Arabidopsis thaliana: one gene and its partners. The protein of the gene in region 1 interacts with the protein of each later gene in a biochemical or structural test. Each region holds a gene or a part of one and is shown on either strand. Other genes may lie near its edges. The genes, in order: MPK6, EXT-like, NIA2 and ZAT6.

What was found.
Region 2: of the proteins of MPK6 (region 1) and EXT-like, one has a biochemical effect on the other in vitro, tested with the Arabidopsis thaliana proteins (one study listed by BioGRID).
Region 3: the proteins of MPK6 (region 1) and NIA2 form a complex in vitro, tested with the Arabidopsis thaliana proteins (one study listed by BioGRID).
Region 4: the proteins of MPK6 (region 1) and ZAT6 form a complex in vitro, tested with the Arabidopsis thaliana proteins (one study listed by BioGRID).

Annotation. Positions count from the first base shown.
Region 1 is NC_003071.7:18,136,386-18,141,540, forward strand, and holds MPK6 (MAP kinase 6), read left to right. Parts: upstream 1-1,860; 5' UTR 1,861-2,091; coding exon 2,092-2,324; exon of another isoform or gene 2,325-2,545; coding exon 2,546-2,675; intron 2,676-3,124; coding exon 3,125-3,262; intron 3,263-3,353; coding exon 3,354-3,686; intron 3,687-3,766; coding exon 3,767-3,947; intron 3,948-4,135; coding exon 4,136-4,308; 3' UTR 4,309-4,603; downstream 4,604-5,155. Other genes in the region: AT2G43780 (cytochrome oxidase assembly protein), read right to left, coding at 59-280, 607-666; AT2G43795 (corepressor), read right to left, coding at 4,750-4,957, 5,055-5,121. UniProt on the Arabidopsis thaliana protein: Mitogen-activated protein kinase (MAPK) which regulates abscisic acid (ABA) responses in a MAPKKK20-MKK5-MPK6 cascade involved in root growth (e.g. root cell division and elongation) and stomatal response.
Region 2 is NC_003075.7:13,475,073-13,480,257, reverse strand, and holds EXT-like (hydroxyproline-rich glycoprotein family protein), read left to right. Parts: upstream 1-1,734; 5' UTR 1,735-1,875; coding exon 1,876-1,969; intron 1,970-2,054; coding exon 2,055-2,155; intron 2,156-2,454; coding exon 2,455-2,564; intron 2,565-3,079; coding exon 3,080-3,155; intron 3,156-3,255; coding exon 3,256-3,399; intron 3,400-3,669; coding exon 3,670-4,410; 3' UTR 4,411-4,641; downstream 4,642-5,185. Other genes in the region: MAP65-2 (microtubule-associated protein 65-2), read left to right, coding at 91-246, 324-635, 729-816, 905-1,053, 1,131-1,424; ATS1 (peroxygenase 1), read left to right, coding at 4,980-5,097. UniProt on the Arabidopsis thaliana protein: Involved in the endosomal multivesicular bodies (MVB) pathway.
Region 3 is NC_003070.9:14,156,506-14,162,462, reverse strand, and holds NIA2 (nitrate reductase 2), read right to left. Parts: upstream 4,012-5,957; 5' UTR 3,847-4,011; coding exon 2,802-3,846; intron 2,616-2,801; coding exon 2,475-2,615; intron 2,379-2,474; coding exon 811-2,378; 3' UTR 525-810; downstream 1-524. UniProt on the Arabidopsis thaliana protein: Nitrate reductase is a key enzyme involved in the first step of nitrate assimilation in plants, fungi and bacteria.
Region 4 is NC_003076.8:1,215,551-1,219,117, forward strand, and holds ZAT6 (6), read right to left. Parts: upstream 1,813-3,567; 5' UTR 1,488-1,812; coding exon 771-1,487; 3' UTR 508-770; downstream 1-507. UniProt on the Arabidopsis thaliana protein: Probable transcription factor that regulates root development and phosphate (Pi) acquisition and homeostasis. Probably acts as a repressor of primary root growth and regulates Pi homeostasis through the control of root architecture.

The DNA of each region.
Region 1 (5,155 bases):
AAGCTTGGAAAGCAAAGATAAATAACGGGTTTGGTTGGACATATCAAGCCAGTGAGGATTAGACCTTAGATGGAACCTTGGTGTCAGTGTCCACCTGTTTTTGGCCTTCGAACTTGTCTATAGCCACTTGAAGCTCGTCTGTGCCACCAACCGCCCTCATTGTGTAGAAGTATACCCCAAAAACAAAAGCTGTCAAGCCACCAGCTACAACCGTGTTCTTGCCTTTTGGGCCTAGGTAACTAAAACCTGGAAATCCCGCCATTACTTCAAAGTCTTTAACCTGCAAGATCCAATGTGTCACATGTTACAGAAGAGACCCAAGTATCAGAAGTATTAGATTATGTTATATCTTCAATATCACAGTTTCATAAATACTAAGATGAGGAATAACAAGAGAGAACTCTGAAGCATGATATAACAACTTTTGATTACTCTTTTTAACATTGCAGAAGTGACTCCAGAAGCCCTGAGGCATCGCAGGACATTGACATATTGTTCATATAGTGAAAAACAGATTACACAGATTGAATACGACGAATTTTCGAATTGTTATACTTATACCTCATCCTAAGAACTACTACGCCAAGAGTAAGTGATAGTACTCACAACGAGATCAAAGATGAGTACAATCATGGTATGAATGAACAACTGAAAGTTGCAAAACATTTCAGCAAAATAGAACTTTCTTCTGCATCATAATGGAAACGGAGAGAAAATCAATTGGTCACATTCATGCCCATCAGTCTAACATAATTGTCCACAAAATCAGCGCACTTCCCTTTAACGAGTCAATCAACCATAAATCATCAACCAAAGCAAAAATAAAGGCAATTAGAAACCTAACTCTACATCTATACATCCAAAGCTAACATCTTTTAAACGCAGGCTACTGTTACTCAACCAAAGTTCTCAAAACCAGATCAAAATGTCAAAATGAAAGGAGAGCAGAAAATATCAATCAAAAATTGGTTCTTTAAGCAAATTACTCCAAAGTCCACAAAATTAAAATGGAATCGAAAGGAACCTGGTGATGAAGGTTTGATGATCACTCGAAAATCCGAAAGATACAACAAAGCTGATATTTTTTTCTTCTACAGAGAATCGTGCCTAAATGCGACAGAAGCCTAAAGTTTCCCTATTTAGTTGACAACTGGTTCGGTGACGCTTAGTGTCGTGGCCACTTACCAATCTATCGAAAACCCTAAACCCAGTAAGAGCTCTCGTGTGAAAGAGGGATAGAGGCAGAAAGCAAGCCGTCTCGAGTTCGAACCCAACTGTATAACACAAGAGAAGAGATTTATTGCTTCATTATGTAAAAAATATTGAGATGATCCTTGTAATTTTGGAATATTATCAAATTGAACCACCATACTTTTTAAAAATCCAAATAACCCTCAACCAAGCATGTTTCATGTTGTGGCCTCATTCACACTATACGACTATCAAGTTCATCGAAATTCTTGATAGAGAACTTTAAATACTTAAATAGTTAATTTAGATACTATCTAATAACTTTTGGCGGTTTATAAGTTTTTGTGTTTTTCAATCTACATAAAATTTAGCGATTTTTCATGTTACAAAAATAATCTCAAAATTAAAGTACAACCCAAAAACATAATATCAATGATAATAACTACATTTATCTATGATTCATTTTCACCCAACATTTACATTCAAAAAAATGCTGTTGTTACTTGTTAATGATAACGATTAAGGAAGGAAGTCAATGGAACAAAAAAAAAAATGGTGATAAGTCAATGTAAAACGATGCCGTTTGTAACCATAACAGTGTTAAACATGAGAATAAAGGATCAAACTTTGAACAGTGGCTTGCTTGCTTGCTTACACACACGGGTCAAGTGAAGACCCAAAAAAAAATAAAAAAATTAATAGATCCGTACGCACATGACTTTCACTTCTTGTCTCTCAGATCTGTTTTGACCCCAAAACCAACGAATATCAATTTCTCCAATTTCATTCATAATTCACTCACCCCAAAATTACAAAAAAAAAAAAAAAAAAAGATTTTCCATTTCCCTCTTCTCGATCCACCACCACCACCAACCTCAAAAGCTTTCATCTTTACCGGTCATGGACGGTGGTTCAGGTCAACCGGCGGCTGATACAGAGATGACAGAAGCTCCTGGAGGTTTTCCCGCGGCGGCTCCATCGCCTCAGATGCCTGGGATTGAGAATATTCCGGCGACTCTTAGCCATGGTGGTAGGTTTATTCAGTATAACATATTTGGAAACATCTTCGAGGTCACCGCTAAGTATAAGCCTCCGATCATGCCTATTGGCAAGGGTGCTTATGGCATCGTTTGGTAATTTTTCTCCGATTCTTTTGATTTTTGGCTTTTGCTTCTAATTGAAATAAAAAATGATTTTTGTTGATTGGGTTTTGGTAAAGTTGGTTACTTTTGATCCGCAATTTGTAAAATTGATTCCTTTGTATCGTTTTTGAGCTCTAATTATGATTGGGATTTATTTTTGTTTCAATGAAAGCTTTATCCTTTTGTGGTTTTATTTGATTTTGATTTTGCAGTTCGGCTATGAATTCTGAAACTAACGAGAGCGTTGCGATTAAGAAAATTGCTAACGCTTTTGACAATAAGATTGATGCTAAGAGGACTCTCCGTGAGATCAAGCTGCTTCGTCACATGGATCATGAAAATGTCAGTTTTTGCTCTTTCTTTGTTAACTAAGAGTCATCTGTTTATAGAGTCTTATGTAGAACATAATAGGATTGTAGATTTAAATACACTCGAAACATGGTAACTACTAGCTGATGCAAAATTGTTTAGGTAAATAGATGATGTATATATTTGATTGATATTGTATGGGCTGATTAGGTTCTGTGTATGAATGTGTTGTATCTGGTGGTTGCTTATTGCATTTAGATTTAAGGGAATATACATGAATGTTGACACAGTGTGCTTGTATTTTTTTCGGTTTGATACGGATTGTTTCGCGCTTATTCAGTAGTATGATCTTTTCCATCTGCGTCAAGATTTTAAATTCTAGAAATCAAATCGTAAAATGTAACCGTTTATCTATGTTGGCGTTTGCAACGTGTAAAACATTTCCGATTGATAAAACACTTACCATCTTTCTGTTAAATCAGATTGTTGCAATCAGAGATATTATCCCGCCACCATTAAGAAACGCTTTCAACGATGTTTACATCGCGTATGAGTTAATGGACACTGATCTCCATCAAATCATTCGGTCAAATCAAGCATTATCCGAAGAACATTGCCAGGTTTTGAGTTTTGAGATTGTTTGTTGACCTATATAACTCGACTTGAAAACGGGGACTAATTGAACTCCATTTCACTTGTCTCTTTGTGCAGTATTTTCTTTACCAGATCCTCCGTGGATTGAAATACATTCACTCTGCAAATGTGCTTCACAGGGATTTGAAACCAAGTAATCTCCTCCTGAACGCAAACTGCGACCTAAAAATCTGCGATTTTGGGCTAGCTCGAGTCACTTCTGAGAGTGATTTCATGACTGAATATGTTGTCACGAGATGGTACCGTGCACCAGAGCTTCTCTTAAACTCTTCTGATTATACTGCAGCTATCGATGTTTGGTCTGTAGGCTGTATTTTCATGGAGTTAATGGACCGTAAGCCACTCTTCCCTGGACGAGATCATGTCCATCAGCTTCGCTTGCTCATGGAGGTAAGTAGTAACCCTTCTTTGACCCAAAAATAAGCTTTGAAGCACTAAAGAAACAGACCGAGACCATTTTCTTTTTGCAGCTCATAGGAACTCCATCAGAAGAAGAGCTCGAGTTCTTGAACGAAAACGCAAAGCGATACATAAGACAGCTTCCACCTTATCCTCGCCAATCCATCACTGATAAGTTCCCGACAGTGCATCCTTTAGCTATAGACCTTATCGAGAAGATGTTAACATTTGATCCTAGACGGAGAATCACAGGTTAGTCCCTAACCTCTATACCATTTTTAACTTGCAAAATAACTGGAATTGCTTGTACGGATCATTCCAAAATCCCGAAAAAAGATTCAATCTAGTGAAGGAATAATAATAATGAGTTCTTGGTTATTTAAGAGTTAGTTAGTAGTCATCACCTCTTATTGATTCTTGATTCTCGATTCTTGATTCAGTTTTAGACGCATTGGCCCATCCATACCTGAACTCGTTGCACGACATAAGCGATGAGCCAGAGTGTACAATACCTTTCAACTTTGATTTTGAAAACCATGCACTCTCAGAGGAGCAGATGAAGGAACTAATCTACCGCGAGGCGCTTGCTTTCAATCCAGAATATCAGCAATAGTTTGAAGAACAGCATTTGGGAGATGAAGATGAGATAAGGGTTTGGCGTTATTTGGTTTGGACAACATTCTTAAAAGGAGGAAAGATCATTGTTTGTCTTTTGTGTATACTTGTGAGAGATGTTGAAGGGGATGGGTCTCAAACTTTATATTTCAGTCTTTTGGATAATTTGTTCTCTCTGTTTTTTTTTTTCCTATTCGTATTTGTAATTTGCCCTCATTTTGTTGTTGCAGTTATTTAAGACTTAAATTGTCTCAGAAATAGTTATGTTATGATAGCCCACCTTCAATTCCTCTACAAAATACTTGCCATTACTGTCAGCTTTCTTGTTTTATAAAACAGCAGGGAGAGAAATATTGCAGGGAGATGAGGATAGTACAAATCATGTCCTCGGGGTGAAAATTGAGCATTTGATGAACACAATCTCAAGTCTTGCACTGTGTCAACTCTTAAGACTGCCAAAGAATTTTGATTGTGGTGCAGGACCATCAGCCTCATCTTTACTTTGGTTTTGAGTGTCTGCCTCTAGACTTGTGTTTCCTCTCCCTCTTTGGCCTCTTAGAACTTGACCTTGACTTCCTAGATTCGTCTTTGTCACTACTTGAAGATTCAGAAGATGAGCTTGAGTCTGATGATCGCCTTTTCGAATGCTGCAAATCAATAAACACAATGTAAGCTAAAAGCTTCAAGCCAACAGAATTATAGAAGATGTTCAAACTAAACTCGATGCAGTTGTTATGTAAGCACCTTTCTCTTTTTGCTTTTCTTCCTCTTGGAATCTCTGCACTTTCTATCTGTGAGCTCTCTCTCCTTCCTATCTGTAAGATCAAATGGCATATTAGAAAAGC
Region 2 (5,185 bases), on another chromosome or scaffold:
CCTTTCTGATTAATTGCGCTGAAAGTTTGTAACTTTTCTCTGCACCATTCTTGTTTGTGGATTTCATTAATGTATCTTGGTTTTATGCAGCTTCAAGAACTAGCTACTCAGCTAACTGATCTATGGAATCTGATGGATACTTCTGATGAGGAAAGGGAGCTTTTTGACCATGTTACCTCTAACATTTCAGCTTCAGTTCATGAAGTGACTGCCTCTGGTGCTCTCGCACTTGATCTTATCGAACAGGTATCGTAAATTTGTAATGTATCAATCAATGTGTATGATAAGTACTGCTTTTAAAAATCTTCTGTGAACTCTTGAAGGCTGAGGTGGAAGTGGATAGGCTTGATCAACTGAAATCTAGCAGAATGAAGGAAATTGCATTCAAAAAGCAATCAGAGCTTGAGGAGATATATGCTCGTGCTCACATAGAAATAAAACCAGAGGTTGTTCGTGAGAGGATCATGTCGTTGATTGATGCTGGGAATACTGAACCTACTGAGTTACTGGCTGACATGGATAGCCAGATCGCAAAGGCCAAGGAGGAAGCCTTTAGTAGAAAAGAAATTTTAGACCGTGTAGAGAAATGGATGTCAGCTTGTGAGGAAGAGAGCTGGCTCGAAGATTACAATCGAGTATGCTAACATTGGCTATGTTAATAAACACATTACTTATTAAGCATAGAGTTCAATTGATGATTCTTTTGGGTTTTTGTTCTGGAAAAACAGGATCAGAACAGGTATAGTGCAAGCCGAGGTGCGCATTTGAATCTCAAGAGAGCTGAGAAAGCTCGGATTCTGGTCAGCAAGATTACTGGTAAGAACTTCCAAAAGTCTCTCTTAGTTATTACTACACATAGAATTAAACTGAGACTGAAGAATATATCATACTTTGTTTGTGCAAGCTATGGTTGACACGTTGATTGCTAAAACCCGGGCATGGGAAGAGGAGAACAGTATGTCCTTTGAGTACGATGGAGTTCCTTTACTCGCCATGCTAGATGAATACACTATGCTTAGGCAAGAACGAGAAGATGAGAAGCGGAGGCTGAAAGTAAGTTGTTTCATCCTGTGTTAAACCGATTGTTGAAACTAACTTCTTTTAAAATAATCTTGCCTTTTCATTAACAGGAACAGAAGAAGCAGCAAGAACAGCCACACACAGATCAAGAATCCGCCTTTGGGTCTAAACCAAGCCCTGCAAGACCCGTTAGTGCCAAGAAACCGGTGGGAACACGAGTCAATGGAGGAGGGCTCAACGAAACTCCTATGAGGCGTTTGTCTATGAACTCAAACCAGAACGGAAGCAAGTCCAAGAGAGACAGTCTGAACAAGATAGCTTCACCTTCGAACATTGTAGCCAACACAAAAGATGATGCTGCATCTCCAGTCTCTCGTGCTGACCCAGTGATGGCTTCACCGTGACAATATCAAAAGAAAGAGAGTTATAATGCTTACTTACACTTTTGTTAGTTGCTAATAGTGCTGTTTAAGAAACAAACACTTAGAAACAAAGACAATGAGAGTAGAATGTTACTTAGATGTTTCTGTTTCTGTATTCATTCACTCAAATTTGTTTGGTACTTGTTAGCATGACTAATGTGAAGTGACCGGTTTAGTGAATGAAAGTCAAGGTTCTAATTGGAATTACGAAATAATATTTGGGCAAAATTGTAATATACTGAAAGATCTTTTGGGCATGATTTAAAAGTTTAAAAAGTTTCCAAGAAGGTTTGGGATTTTAGAGGTCCTTTCTGCGACGTCGTTTCTAGTTTGCAATCAGAAGCGCGTTAAATACAGGAAAATTTCTTGAGCTGTTTTGTCTTAACAAATCAATCGGAGAAAAAGCTACGGAGCTCGAGAGAAGAGAGAATCTATGTCGAACCCAAACGAACCAGCCAGGGCTCTTCTGCCTTACCTGCAACGTGCCGATGAGCTGCAGAAGCATGAACCACTTGTTGCTTATTACTGTGAGTTTCGTTTTCTTATCTATATCTAACCTAGATGATCGCCTCCTGCGATTGTGTGTATTCATGGAATTTTGTGATTGATTAGGTCGGCTATATGCAATGGAACGAGGATTGAAGATTCCGCAGAGCGAGAGAACTAAGACCACCAATTCGATTCTCATGTCTCTCATTAATCAACTCGAAAAGGTATTACCTTTGAAGTTTTAAATTGTGAGTTTTTCTGATTTATTTCAGCTTGTTTGATTTTTTACTTGTTTAGATTTGAAAGGACCGGTTCTTAGTAATTCTCATGATGTGTTTGACTTTGATTATTATATGTTGTTACTTGTTACAAAGCTGGAGTTTTTTTATTTATGTTTGTGTTTGGTAAGGAGGCTTATATCTAAATTTAGCTTAGGTTTGTTCATGTGATTGACAGAGTTCATGAGGCAATTTCTTGATTAGTTCCAGTTTCTTATGGCGATTTCTTTTTTGTGTAACTCCAGGATAAAAAATCATTGACTCTGTCCCCAGATGACAATATGCATGTGGAGGGGTTTGCACTTAGTGTCTTTGCTAAGGCAGACAAGCAGGATCGTGCAGGAAGAGCAGACTTGTAAGAATTTTTTTTGCTCTTATGTTTGATTATATATAGAATGGCATTTTTTTTGCCCTCAAGTTTCTAATAATTTTAGGGTCACCGTCAACACTAGCTCAATGAGTCGAATTAGCATGATTCTATAGATTCATTGTCTGTCTAGTATTATTGTGTTTGCCAATACTGGAAATAGCGTGCAAGTACACATACATTTACAATGAGTATGCATGTCCGGCAGACATGTTTTTAGGTGATACCTTCCTCTACCATCGTTTAAGATAGCGGGTTAAGTAATTAGTTGGATGCATCCAAGGCTTATCTCGACCTGTTGTCTTCTACCTGTTCTGCTTTTGCGAAATACCTGTATCTCCAGCATTGATGTGTTTCTATGCATGGTTGGATACTGATATTAGTTCGATTACTGTCTGTATCCTTATTTTATAAGTGCTAACACCTGCATTCATTTGACTCAATTACATAGGCTTCCGAGTTGCGATGGATTATCCAAATTAACTTTGTTGTGCTTGTGACAGGGGCACTGCCAAAACTTTTTATGCTGCGAGCATCTTCTTTGAAATTCTGAGCCAGTTTGGTCCCGTACCTCCTGATGTAAGTTCCTACTTCTTTTTTTATTCACTTAACATCACCTTAAGAGGCAGCTGTGTTGGGAGATTGATATGTGTATATATGTAATGGCTCCCATTAACAGATAGAGCAGAAACACAAGTATGCTGCTTGGAAGGCTGCTGACATAAGGAAAGCCATTAAAGAAGGAAGGAAGCCCACTCCAGGTGATCCTGTGGATGATGATACTGATTTATCCATCCCATCAAGCGGTCCTAGTGGCTCCTATGTAAGTTTCTCTTCTTGAATATTTATGGATTGGAAATATCTTGATATTGGCTTAGCGTGTATTCTGTCCAATAATATCGAAAAGTGTTTAGGAGCGTAAATGTTTATAGAATTCGCATAGCGCTGATCAAAATCATCTAGCTAGAGACACACACATTCACACCCACCTGTGTACTTTTAGGTTTTTGTTTTCTCAATTGTCAAAACACTATGATAAAACGTCTGCATCAACTTAATCGATTCATTGTTTGTGCATGTTAATTATCTACAGGATCACAGTGCAAGTGATACCAACACAACAAGTCATCATAGAACAGAGCTTGATCCACCCCATGACTCGAATGATGACTCCAGCCACCATCAATTCCCTGAAGTGCCACAACACCCTCTACCTCCCAGGTTTTATGACAATCCGACCAACGATTATCCCGCAGATGTCCCACCTCCACCACCGTCTTCTTACCCTTCCAACGATCATCTTCCCCCTCCCACAGGACCATCAGACTCCCCTTACCCGCATCCTTACAGTCATCAACCATACCACCAAGACCCGCCAAAACACATGCCGCCACCGCAAAACTACTCATCTCATGAGCCTTCTCCAAATTCTCTCCCTAATTTCCAATCTTATCCTAGCTTTAGTGAGAGCAGCCTCCCATCCACTTCTCCCCACTACCCTTCTCACTACCAAAACCCAGAACCTTACTATTCTTCTCCGCACTCTGCACCTGCTCCTTCTTCCACAAGCTTCTCCTCTGCTCCTCCTCCTCCACCTTACTCATCAAACGGGCGTATCAATATTGCTCCCGTGCTAGATCCTGCACCGAGTTCAGCTCAGAAGTACCATTACGATAGCAGCTACCAGCCAGGGCCTGAGAAGGTTGCAGAGGCACTCAAGGCTGCTAGATTCGCTGTGGGAGCTTTGGCTTTTGATGAAGTCTCGACTGCTGTAGAACATCTCAAGAAGTCACTTGAGTTGCTAACAAATCCATCGGCCGGTGCCGGTCACTGAATTTTATATCTAATCTATGACACTTGGGGTTGATGTTAGTGCGTGTGTGTGTTCTCAACATTTGTGGGTTTGTTTATTAACTTTTCAGGCTCAGACTTCGTTTACAAAGAAAATTTGTGTGAATTATTCTTATTATCATAAAATTTTCCTTGCAACTTCGTGTACATTCATACATACATAGGCAATGGAGTTCCTCTTCAGTCTTCACGTAAAGAGCGAGTGTGGGACACGCACTCATGTAGCGGGTGGTGTTAGTACTCGAGGTTGGGCCTATATAAAAGCCCATAGAGGCCCGAATTACTGAATTTAGCAGACAAGAATAGAAAGAGTGATGAAACATGGAAGAAAACGTGTCTCTAGAGTCATGTCAAGTGTAAGACAGAGGAAGAGAGAAGAGATGTGCGTCAAAGACAAGGAAAGAGAGATGTCAATCGCTGCTTTCGTCGGCGCGTGCATGTCCGCCACGCACATCAATCAAATCGATTCTTATTATTATTACCTCATTATACTCTTTACTCTAAGACAAACACATACATTTGCACTCAGTCTAGAGACAAAGTGAGAGAGAGATGGGGTCAAAGACGGAGATGATGGAGAGAGACGCAATGGCTACGGTGGCTCCCTATGCGCCGGTCACTTACCATCGCCGTGCTCGTGTTGACTTGGATGATAGACTTCCTAAACCTTGTAAAACCTTTCTCTCGCTACTTGCATTTTTTTATCCCTAATTGATTTCAATATATTGCATGCCAAAAAATATTTGATATATGGTTGA
Region 3 (5,957 bases), on another chromosome or scaffold:
TATGAATCGTTGATATATGATTTTATTTAGATATATATATATATATATATCGTAACATTTTCTATCGGTTTAATAGCACACTATTTTTATATAGATATGATGTTCCTTTTGGATAACTTAGAACATAACTTGTGATGCTGTATTAAAATTCTAATCCTGTAATGGAGAAGAGTTTGGATGCTAGAAACATACTTTATAAACATGTACAATTTTAATAAGAACAAATTGAATATTAACTGAAAACTCTAAAGATTCTCAAACGATTGATATATTGTTAAACTAATCACCCAAAAAGGAAGAGTCTTCTAAATTACAAGTTAATAAAACAAATGAAAAAAGTAAATTCACTCCCCCTAATCTTAAATCATATATGTGGTGAAGATTAATATAGGAACTAATGGACGAGTTTGGTTTCAACTTGCACAACAGGAAACTACTTCGCTTTGGCTTTATTCTCTTTGAAAATGATTATTGGTGTCTAATAGCTGTAGAATTTTTATTTTATTTTTTAACGACAAAGACATATGAAAAAATGAACATATTCAAATTGATATTCATAATGTGAAGTAAACGCAGAAAATTCAATGTACGATAACCTAACCACAAAAATTTCTGAAATTACTTTTTGTATATTATTGTGAAAAAAAATATCGATCGTGAATACAACGAACACATTATATTTCCAAATCCAAGACTTTAAAGAACCAACATTATATACAAACAAATCCCTCAATACTTATTTAGAATCTATCATAACACTAGGCTTTTTGACGACTTAACGTTTTGACTTTGAAATATCTTGGCTTTAGACTAGAATATCAAGAAATCCTCCTTGATGTTATATTGCATCTTCTCCAAATTCGGCTGAACCGCAAACTGAATCATCGGTGGTGGTCCGCAAGCCATGGCAAGGGCTGAGCCATCTAATCCATCAGGGATATGTTCTCGCATAATCGCCTCGGAAATAAACCCGGTACTGTATGCCCAACCTTCCTTAGCTGATTCCACTACGTACCAAACCTTTAACCGGTCCGGGTATTGCTCTGCCCAACCATCCAGTTCCTCCCTTAGGAGAATATCTTCCTCGGTCCGGTTAGCATAAATGACGTACATTTCAGTCTCATCCTCTGGATCCTTGAGAATGGCTTGGATAATTTGGTAAACCGGAGTTATTCCGGTTCCACCTGCCAACATTGCCAATTTATCAGCAAACTTTGGTTTACCGTGAACCGTGAAACTACCCTTGCCGAGATACTCAACGTGACCCAATGGTCCTTTAATCTCCAAAGTTGACCCTATAGGCAAAGAGTCTAGGTACTGAGACATGAGCCCGCCGTTAGGGAATCTTGGGTGGACACCGCCAAAGTAAATCTTGACCACGAGCTCGAAGTAGCCAACCACATCAACGGTGCTGCTTGGTGTGTAAGCTCTGAGGCAGAGCTTGTCATTGATGGTGGCGCAAAGGAAAATGTGCTTACCAACCGGTAAGCCTAGAACCATATCCTCAACCGGTAAAGCAAACCGGAATTTACGAACATCATGAGAAATGGAAGTCTTTTCGACGAGTTGAACCGGGACTTTAGCCCGGGGATTAACCAAAGCGAGGTTCCTAACCGGAGTCGCCTCTCCAATGGGAGCCAACAGCGAGAACACGGCGGATGAACCGTGAACCGAGTTGTTAGGCGAGGAAGAGTCAGAGGAATAACCAGTGGTGATGAGCTCACCGATACGGTAATCCTCAAGCATCTTCTTGGCTTTATCCGAGTGAATGGCTTCAAACTCCTCCGTACAATCCGTACCAGCATTGATCAAGATTGAATCCGAACCACCCGGGTGATCCATAAGGAATCGTGTACAATCATAGATATGTCCATGGACAATGATCCAGCAAGAGTCAGCCGAATTATGCTTCTTGACCTCGGACATCGAGTACATCTTCGCAGTTGTGTTCATAAACGGCGTCGAGACAGACTTCTTTAGACTAGGAGGCGCGTCAGCCGATTTTTCGAGGTGACGTTCCTTCGCCATCCATCCACCAGATTCATTACCAGGAAGCGTTGGATGCTCGAACACAATCCCAATCTCTCCCTTGTGTGGCTTGCACACGTTAGTCTTCACTCTAAACCAGCAGTTATTCATCATCCCCATGAGATTCCATATCATTTTCTCGGGCTGCGTGTTGAGAGTCTCGTCCCATGCACGAACAGCAATCTCTTTGGCACTAAGCAAGTCCAAAACCTCAACCTCAAGTGACCAAAAACACCAACACCAGAACTTCCCATACTTGTTTGGCTTCTCTTGATGGTCAAGTGCACATACGTTCCATGTCTCTCCACCATCTACCGTGACCTCCACACGGGTCACTTTTTTTCCACCTCCTGTTTTTTTTTGTATAAAGATTATTGTTACTATTAAATTAAATCATCCTATGAAATAACGTATTTATTAAATTAAAATGTTAAAAGGACAAGTACCGGAATATGCGTAACCCTTTAAAGTATAAGGTCTTTGGGTTGTGAAAGCGTTGATGGGAAGAATCTCCTCGTGACATGGCGTCGTAATCACGGAGTTTATGTTTAGCTCGTTGATTATGTACTCTGGCTTATACCACCAACCTAAAACAAAACCATTGAATTTGAATTTATGTAAGTCACAGAAGCTGACATCATCCACCAACATTAGTTTTTCATTTTTTAATATGATTTCTGTTTTTGTTTTTCTCCTATAGGTTCGGAGACTTTTTAAACATATCAATTAGTTCATCTTAATGAGATTTATTGAAGCAAAAAGATTTTATGTACCTTCTTCGTCGGCGAGTTCGGCGTCTACCAAAGAAGGTAAAACTCTGTTGTCCTTGAAATGGTAGAAATTGTCGGATTCTTTAGTTGTGACAATGATTCGTTTCAACCATTTAACCATCCGGCCACCAATGAAACCGGGGATGATGATCCGAACCGGAAAACCGTGGTCTGGTGTTAGATACTCTCCGTTTTGCATATAAGCCAAAATGATGTCTCTTGATGGATCCATGGCATATTCCTTCTTGATGCTCGTTCCGTATTTGGAACCAGCAGTTCCGGCACCGCCCGGAAGATCCTCCGACCCTTCGAAGCAGACGTTGAGAGCGCCGCCTTTTCGGCTAAAGATCCCGCAGCGACGCAGTACGTCGCAGAGAGGGACACCACGCCACACGGAGGTGGAAACTCCGGCGGATCCCCAGTTGAATCCCTTTGACTTCTTCACCATGTTCTGTTCCTTACGGCGGTTCCCCGCGCAGACTAGCGTCGCGGCGAACTCGCGGTAAGCAAACTCGGAGACGAGCTGGTCCATGGTGAATTTCATGGGCCGTTTGACGAATCCGGTCACCTCGACCGTCCATTCGGCCCATTGGGCTTTAGGGACGTGGCCGTGGTTACGAACGTAGTGCAACGGGACAGGGGTGATAAACCCGTGGTGCATTAAACGGTTAAGAGGCGCCTCGGAGTTGAAGGGATGTTTCCCTGTGAGACGTACCATGGAAGGGTTACGCTCGATCCAGCTATCAGCCGTGTATTCGTCCCTCGGGTCCAAAACGGACGGTTCAAGCTCGGCGTTGGATTTTCTTATCATCTCCTTGTAGTACACGGCGTTGCTGTTGTGTGTCTCGTTCTCGTCTTCGCTCGACACGTCTTCGTCATCGTCATGAACCTTGGCTGGTTTCAAGAACACGGTTTGGTTGGTGGTTTGGTTCTGGTGCGCCTTAGGGGAATCGGACCGGCCTGGAACGGGAGGTTTGTAAGAACGAACCACGCCGTTCAAACCTGGCTCGAGACGAGCGTATTGGCGATTATCTACAGAGGCCGCCATGTTGGAAAGTGTATAATCGTAAATAATGTAGAAAGCAGAGCCTTTTTCTCTCTCTATCTCTCTCTTGTGAGTGAGATGAGATCTGAGGACGAAAATGCATCGTTGGTGGAGATGAAGTTATATAGGAGAGAGCCTAGTGGTATGCTTTTAGGAAGTATCGTGCCGAATCACACGTATGGGACCATTTGTGACTTTTTAATTTTTTTCTTACACACTTACTATTAATTTTTTCTTATGACTTGACTTAATTAAATAAACCATCCATTTGTTTGACAAAAATAAACGATCATAGTTATTCAATAAGCTTAAAATGATCATTTTTGTCCCTATTTGTTATAAAACAAATGTGAATTGTTGGAGTAGTTTTGTAAATACTTTTAACGTCTCGGAAACATGTATAGATTTTTTTTTGTCAACTAAGAAATGATGACAATTGAATAATATATTATTATCTATCATTGGTTATTTCCTGTAATACAATATAAAAATGTGATCAAAACATTTTCCTTTTTATTTTAGTCGAATTTGTTTTACTAAAAAATATGTTTTCTTATTCGTGACACAAAGCCGTATTTATTTTTAATGGAAAAATAACGATAAAAGATGACAAAATAATTAAGAGCAATAAAATTAGTAATACAAAAATCGTGGTGATAATATTTTCATACTATTAATTTTAATAGTTTTTGTGATCGGTAACTATTAAAACCGTATATATATATATATATATATATATATATATATATATATATATATATATTTTGTAAACCGTATATTTTTTACCAGTAAATTAAAGAATTATCAATGTGTTAACATAGGAAGAACGTTCCTTTTATTATTGAGATTTGATAATCCTTTTACCCCTGGTTCTAGTTTAGAAGTTTATCAATGTTCTTATATCCTTCAGTTAAACATAGGAACAACGTTCCTTTTATTCTTGAGATTTGATAAATCAATTAAACATATTATCAGAAAAAATCTAATAATCATACAATATTTATTTTCTTATTAAACGTTATTTTCAGTAATATTTTCTTATTAAACTGTTTTTTAGTAATATTTTTTTTTGATAAAATTAACAGATGTGATTTTCAGCAATATTGATGAGATATTAATTATTGAGTAATCTAATTTTTTGTATACATTATTATAACCTAAAATAGTTCCTTGAATCATCTAAAAGTTTAAAATACCTATGTATGAATGTTGGAAAATGAAAAAAAAAAAAAAACTGAATGATGGAAAATGATCACGTTCATCTTTTTCCTTAAAATAACTACAAAATTATTTCTCTTTTTGATCAAGATGCAACATTACAGCCACCTATATATTAGTATTACTGTTATTATTGTTTTTCTTCGGAAAGAATGGCGGTGACTAATCAAAACCGACGGAGCCACGGGTTCAGCAGATTCAGTGGGTAAATCTTTCTTTATTTAAGACTTTTTTTTGTTGAAAATTTCATTGAGTAAATATTGAATATTGATTTTCTTGTGAACTTCTAATTTTGGGTAACCAATATACATCTTTATTTTTTTTATATATATATATATATATATACTTCTTCTGTTATAATATATAAGATATTTCACTAAAAAGACAAAGTTTAAGATATTAATTAATATTTTTACATTAAAAAACATATTTTGATATTTAATTAAAGAGAGTTTGCTAATGAATTTTTTACTGCAGAATAAAAATTTATCTTTTGAGATGTGAGATGAAGATTAAATCTGTGAAAGAAAAAAAAGTAAAAAAGACAGTTTAAGTTTAAATCATATGGTACTATTTATATTATGTTTAAGTTTTATACTTTAAAAAGGAACATGAAAATTTAGTTGATTTCAAGTTTCCACTTTATTTTTTTTTATGCTAACCTTTCATGTTAAAGTGTCAAACAATGAAAACTAAATTTGTTGCGAAGACTATTACTATCCATACAACAATTTCTATTTCATAGCACAATTTCTTAAATAAGACTACTTGCATATAGCAGTTTCAATATATATGATTTTTATATACCTAACTTTACAAATAAGATAATCAATACAATATATATAGTATAGTTAATATAGGGAATTAGGGACGAGTGATATGAAGAAATTATATTT
Region 4 (3,567 bases), on another chromosome or scaffold:
GTAATATACAATAATTAAGTAGAAGAAGAAAAACTCCATCTCAAGTATAAATATTATCTTTGTTTTTCTTATAGTTATCGCTCTGTGTGTCGATCAAACTATGTTAGCAGGTTGTGGCCGAAAAGCTTTGTATATTTTAAGAACTCATTTAGGTCATACAATGATGTTCCCAAAATGGTACATATCTGATAAAAAGGATCTTGGTCTTTACTCTTTACTAATGCGTCGTTCAATCTCATTAGATCATTTTAAATTTGGGGTACACCTAATTTTTATAGTCATATAATCACATGGAGTTAACTTTACACTTTATAAAGAAATTATGGCATATAAAAAGAAAAGCTCTCTTTTTGTTCTTAGATTCAGTACATTTATATTTATGTGATGTAAGATGATGGGAGATCAACTTGTTGGGTGTTGCTGGTCACGACGAGCCTATGTGGAAGTATGGTTGGATATATGATGGGCTCAAAACTTGTAAGTTAGGTCATACCGGCCTACCAAACTAAGTAGGCTAGTCCAACGGATTAACAAACTGGCCCGTAAATTAGTCACTTTCGATATGCTCTCTTATTATGTATGATGTATCCAAGCAAATTTTGATACGTGTGAAACAATAAAAAGTTATATCTTTTTCAGAAACATCAATTATACAACAAAGAATCATAATTTTTCAGTGAAGAAGAACATCAATCAAAATCGATATTTGTATATACAGTAAAACAATTTCCTATAAAATGAATTCTGTAAAGTTTTTCCTAGGTTTATGTTTAGGGTTTCTCCGGGAAGTCAAACCGGAGTTTCTTCGCCGGCATAGGACTCATCACCTCTTCGTCTCCGTTGACCATCGAGAATTCCGGTATCGGCGGTATGTTGAGGTCAAACCCACGGTGGCCACTGCTGACGTGGCTTGTAGACCCCACATCTTCAGAATTCGACACGCTACTACTCACACCGCCTCCGTTCTTTCCTTCGTAGTGGCACCGTTTGTGGCCGCCGAGAGCTTGACCGGTGGCGAACGATTTATGACAGATAGAGCAAACGTGCGACTTCACACTTCCTCCCCCGCCACCGGATATACCAGACGTGGTTATCGCCGACGATGTCGACAGCTCATCTCCTCCGGCAGATTGAGTAAGCGAAAAGCTTTTCCGGTGACTTGCCTTGTGTCCACCAAGAGCCTGGTAAGACGAAAACGCCTTGTCACAGACGCTACACTTGTAGATCGGAGTAGGAAGAGGAGGAAGCAGAGGAGGTGAAGACGAAGAAGAAGGCAGGTCAAGGTCACGGTTTCTATCTCCGTCGCGAGCAAGAAGCATGAGACATAAAGCGATATATTCATCCTCCGTGAGACTCTGACGGTCGAATTCAGATCTTGATCGCTTAGATCGTTTGCCTTTGCTTCCATGAAACCCTAGTGCTGAATCTTGAAACAGAGTCGGCATCGGAGAAGATAATCTTGGAGAAGTAAGAGTTTCAAGTGCCATTATCTTGAAGACTAGCTACTAAGTTCTAAATTGAGAAGAAAGATAATTGTAAATGAAAAGATTTGATTTGAAGAAACAAGAAATGAAAGTGTGTGTGTTATATATAGTAAAGTCAGAGGAGTCTGAAGAGGAAGGAAGTTGCGTGTCGAGAGATGAGAAAGAGTTGAAGAAGAGTGAAGAAGTCGATAATCACTTTAATTTGATATATTTATTTTAATTATATATAATGTTGTGTGGACTAGAGATGAAAAGTGAAAGTATCTAAGTTTGGTTTGGGCACATTTGGTTTGACTTGGTACACGTGTTTGTGGAAGTCGGCTAAGAAGACTTGTTCTCATTTCTTTCTAGTAAGTAAGTAATGCCGCCTTCTTCAATTCTTATCACTTAAGAATATTCTAGAGAGCTCTCACTTAGGTGTTTTGCTGACCAACCAACCAACCAACCAACCAAGTGGAGATACAAAAGGCCAAATTAAGTCGGCTACTTAACCAGTTTTACTGTCTTTTCATAACTTATCGAATTAATACCTACTATTAATGTCTAAACCCATCAATATCAACGTAACCTTTTTAATTTTAATCTCGAGGCCCACTTGAGAGATGAATATGTAACCGCTTAAAAGGTGAGGTTTCGAACTTGGGTGAAAGGAATGACCTAGTGAACTAGTGCCACTATAGTGCCCCCCTTCTAATGTAACCTTTATCTATGTTTCTTCTTTAGGTTTGGCAAACTATATCATGTTGACAAATTTGTATTGGGCATCAGTGATTAAATCTATGATATTTTTAAAATTCATCTATTAATAAAGCATCCAACTAAAAACGAAGAAAAGAATGTTAGAATTAAAAGATATAATGATATAACAAAGGGAATGTTTCGCCAAAGTACGAAAAGAAAGGTTACTATAAACCTAGGAATAGACGAAATTTTTTTAACCATTTTATTAAGTTTATGGTTGAAATATTTATTAACAATTCCTCCACAAAAATTGCAAGTAGAACACTCGAGCCACTTCTAATTTTAACCACTCAAGCCATTTCTACATGATGACCACTCGAGCCATTCCTAATTTTAACGCATAACCTCAAAAAATAAAGAGAAGACAGAATTTAAAGCACAACCTCAAAAAACATATACTGATCAAATTTGTATATATAAATACATCAAAATCGCAATCTTTATAAATAAATAAATAAACAAAAAAATAAAAACAATCTAATTAACATCCCCAGAAAAACAAAATGAAACGTCTCACAATTGTTCTCATTGTTTTAGTGTTTTACATTGGAGATACGCATGGGAGAAACGTATTAATGATAGTAAACAGGTTACCAAAAAACGCAACCCTGAAGCTCCATTGTTATTCAGGGGACGACGATTTTAAGACCATGTACTTGCGTCACAATGATCCACCACAAACTTGGCGTTTCAAAGATGCTTTCTTCCATGAGACACAATTTATATGCAATCTACACCAGGGTTACCATTGGGCGCATCACCGTTCGTTTATAGCTTACAAGTCAAGTATGAACACCTCTCAGAAAAATAATGCAAATGCTACATGGTTCGCCGGTGAAAAAGGAATCTACTTGTCCTTTAACCAGAGGACTCCTGAATTTATGTACATCTGGATGTAAACCAATCATAACCAGTTGCTCTTAATTTTATGTTATAATTAGTATTCTTGGTTTGATGTCAATGTATAGTACTATATATCTAGGATAAATTAATAACACAGAATGTAATATATCGGAGACTCGAAAATATGTCATTACATATGAATGTTGGCTATATATACGTCATATTTTAATTAGGTCGTCGTAGTTTCGAACGGAAAAATTCATCACCATCTCCCTCCTCTTTCTCTCCAACATGAAACTTCTATCGTTTCCTCTTTTTACTTATGTTTGTTCCTTTTTCTTGATGGCTACTTATTTTTTCAAATATTATTTTCTAAGATATTTTATGAGAAAACAAAATATGTTCTAAATCATGGATTATTAATTAGAATATATATCTTTTTGTGATATTAGTAACTATTATATGTTTATGTCACTAGATTATATTTTTTTCAAAATGT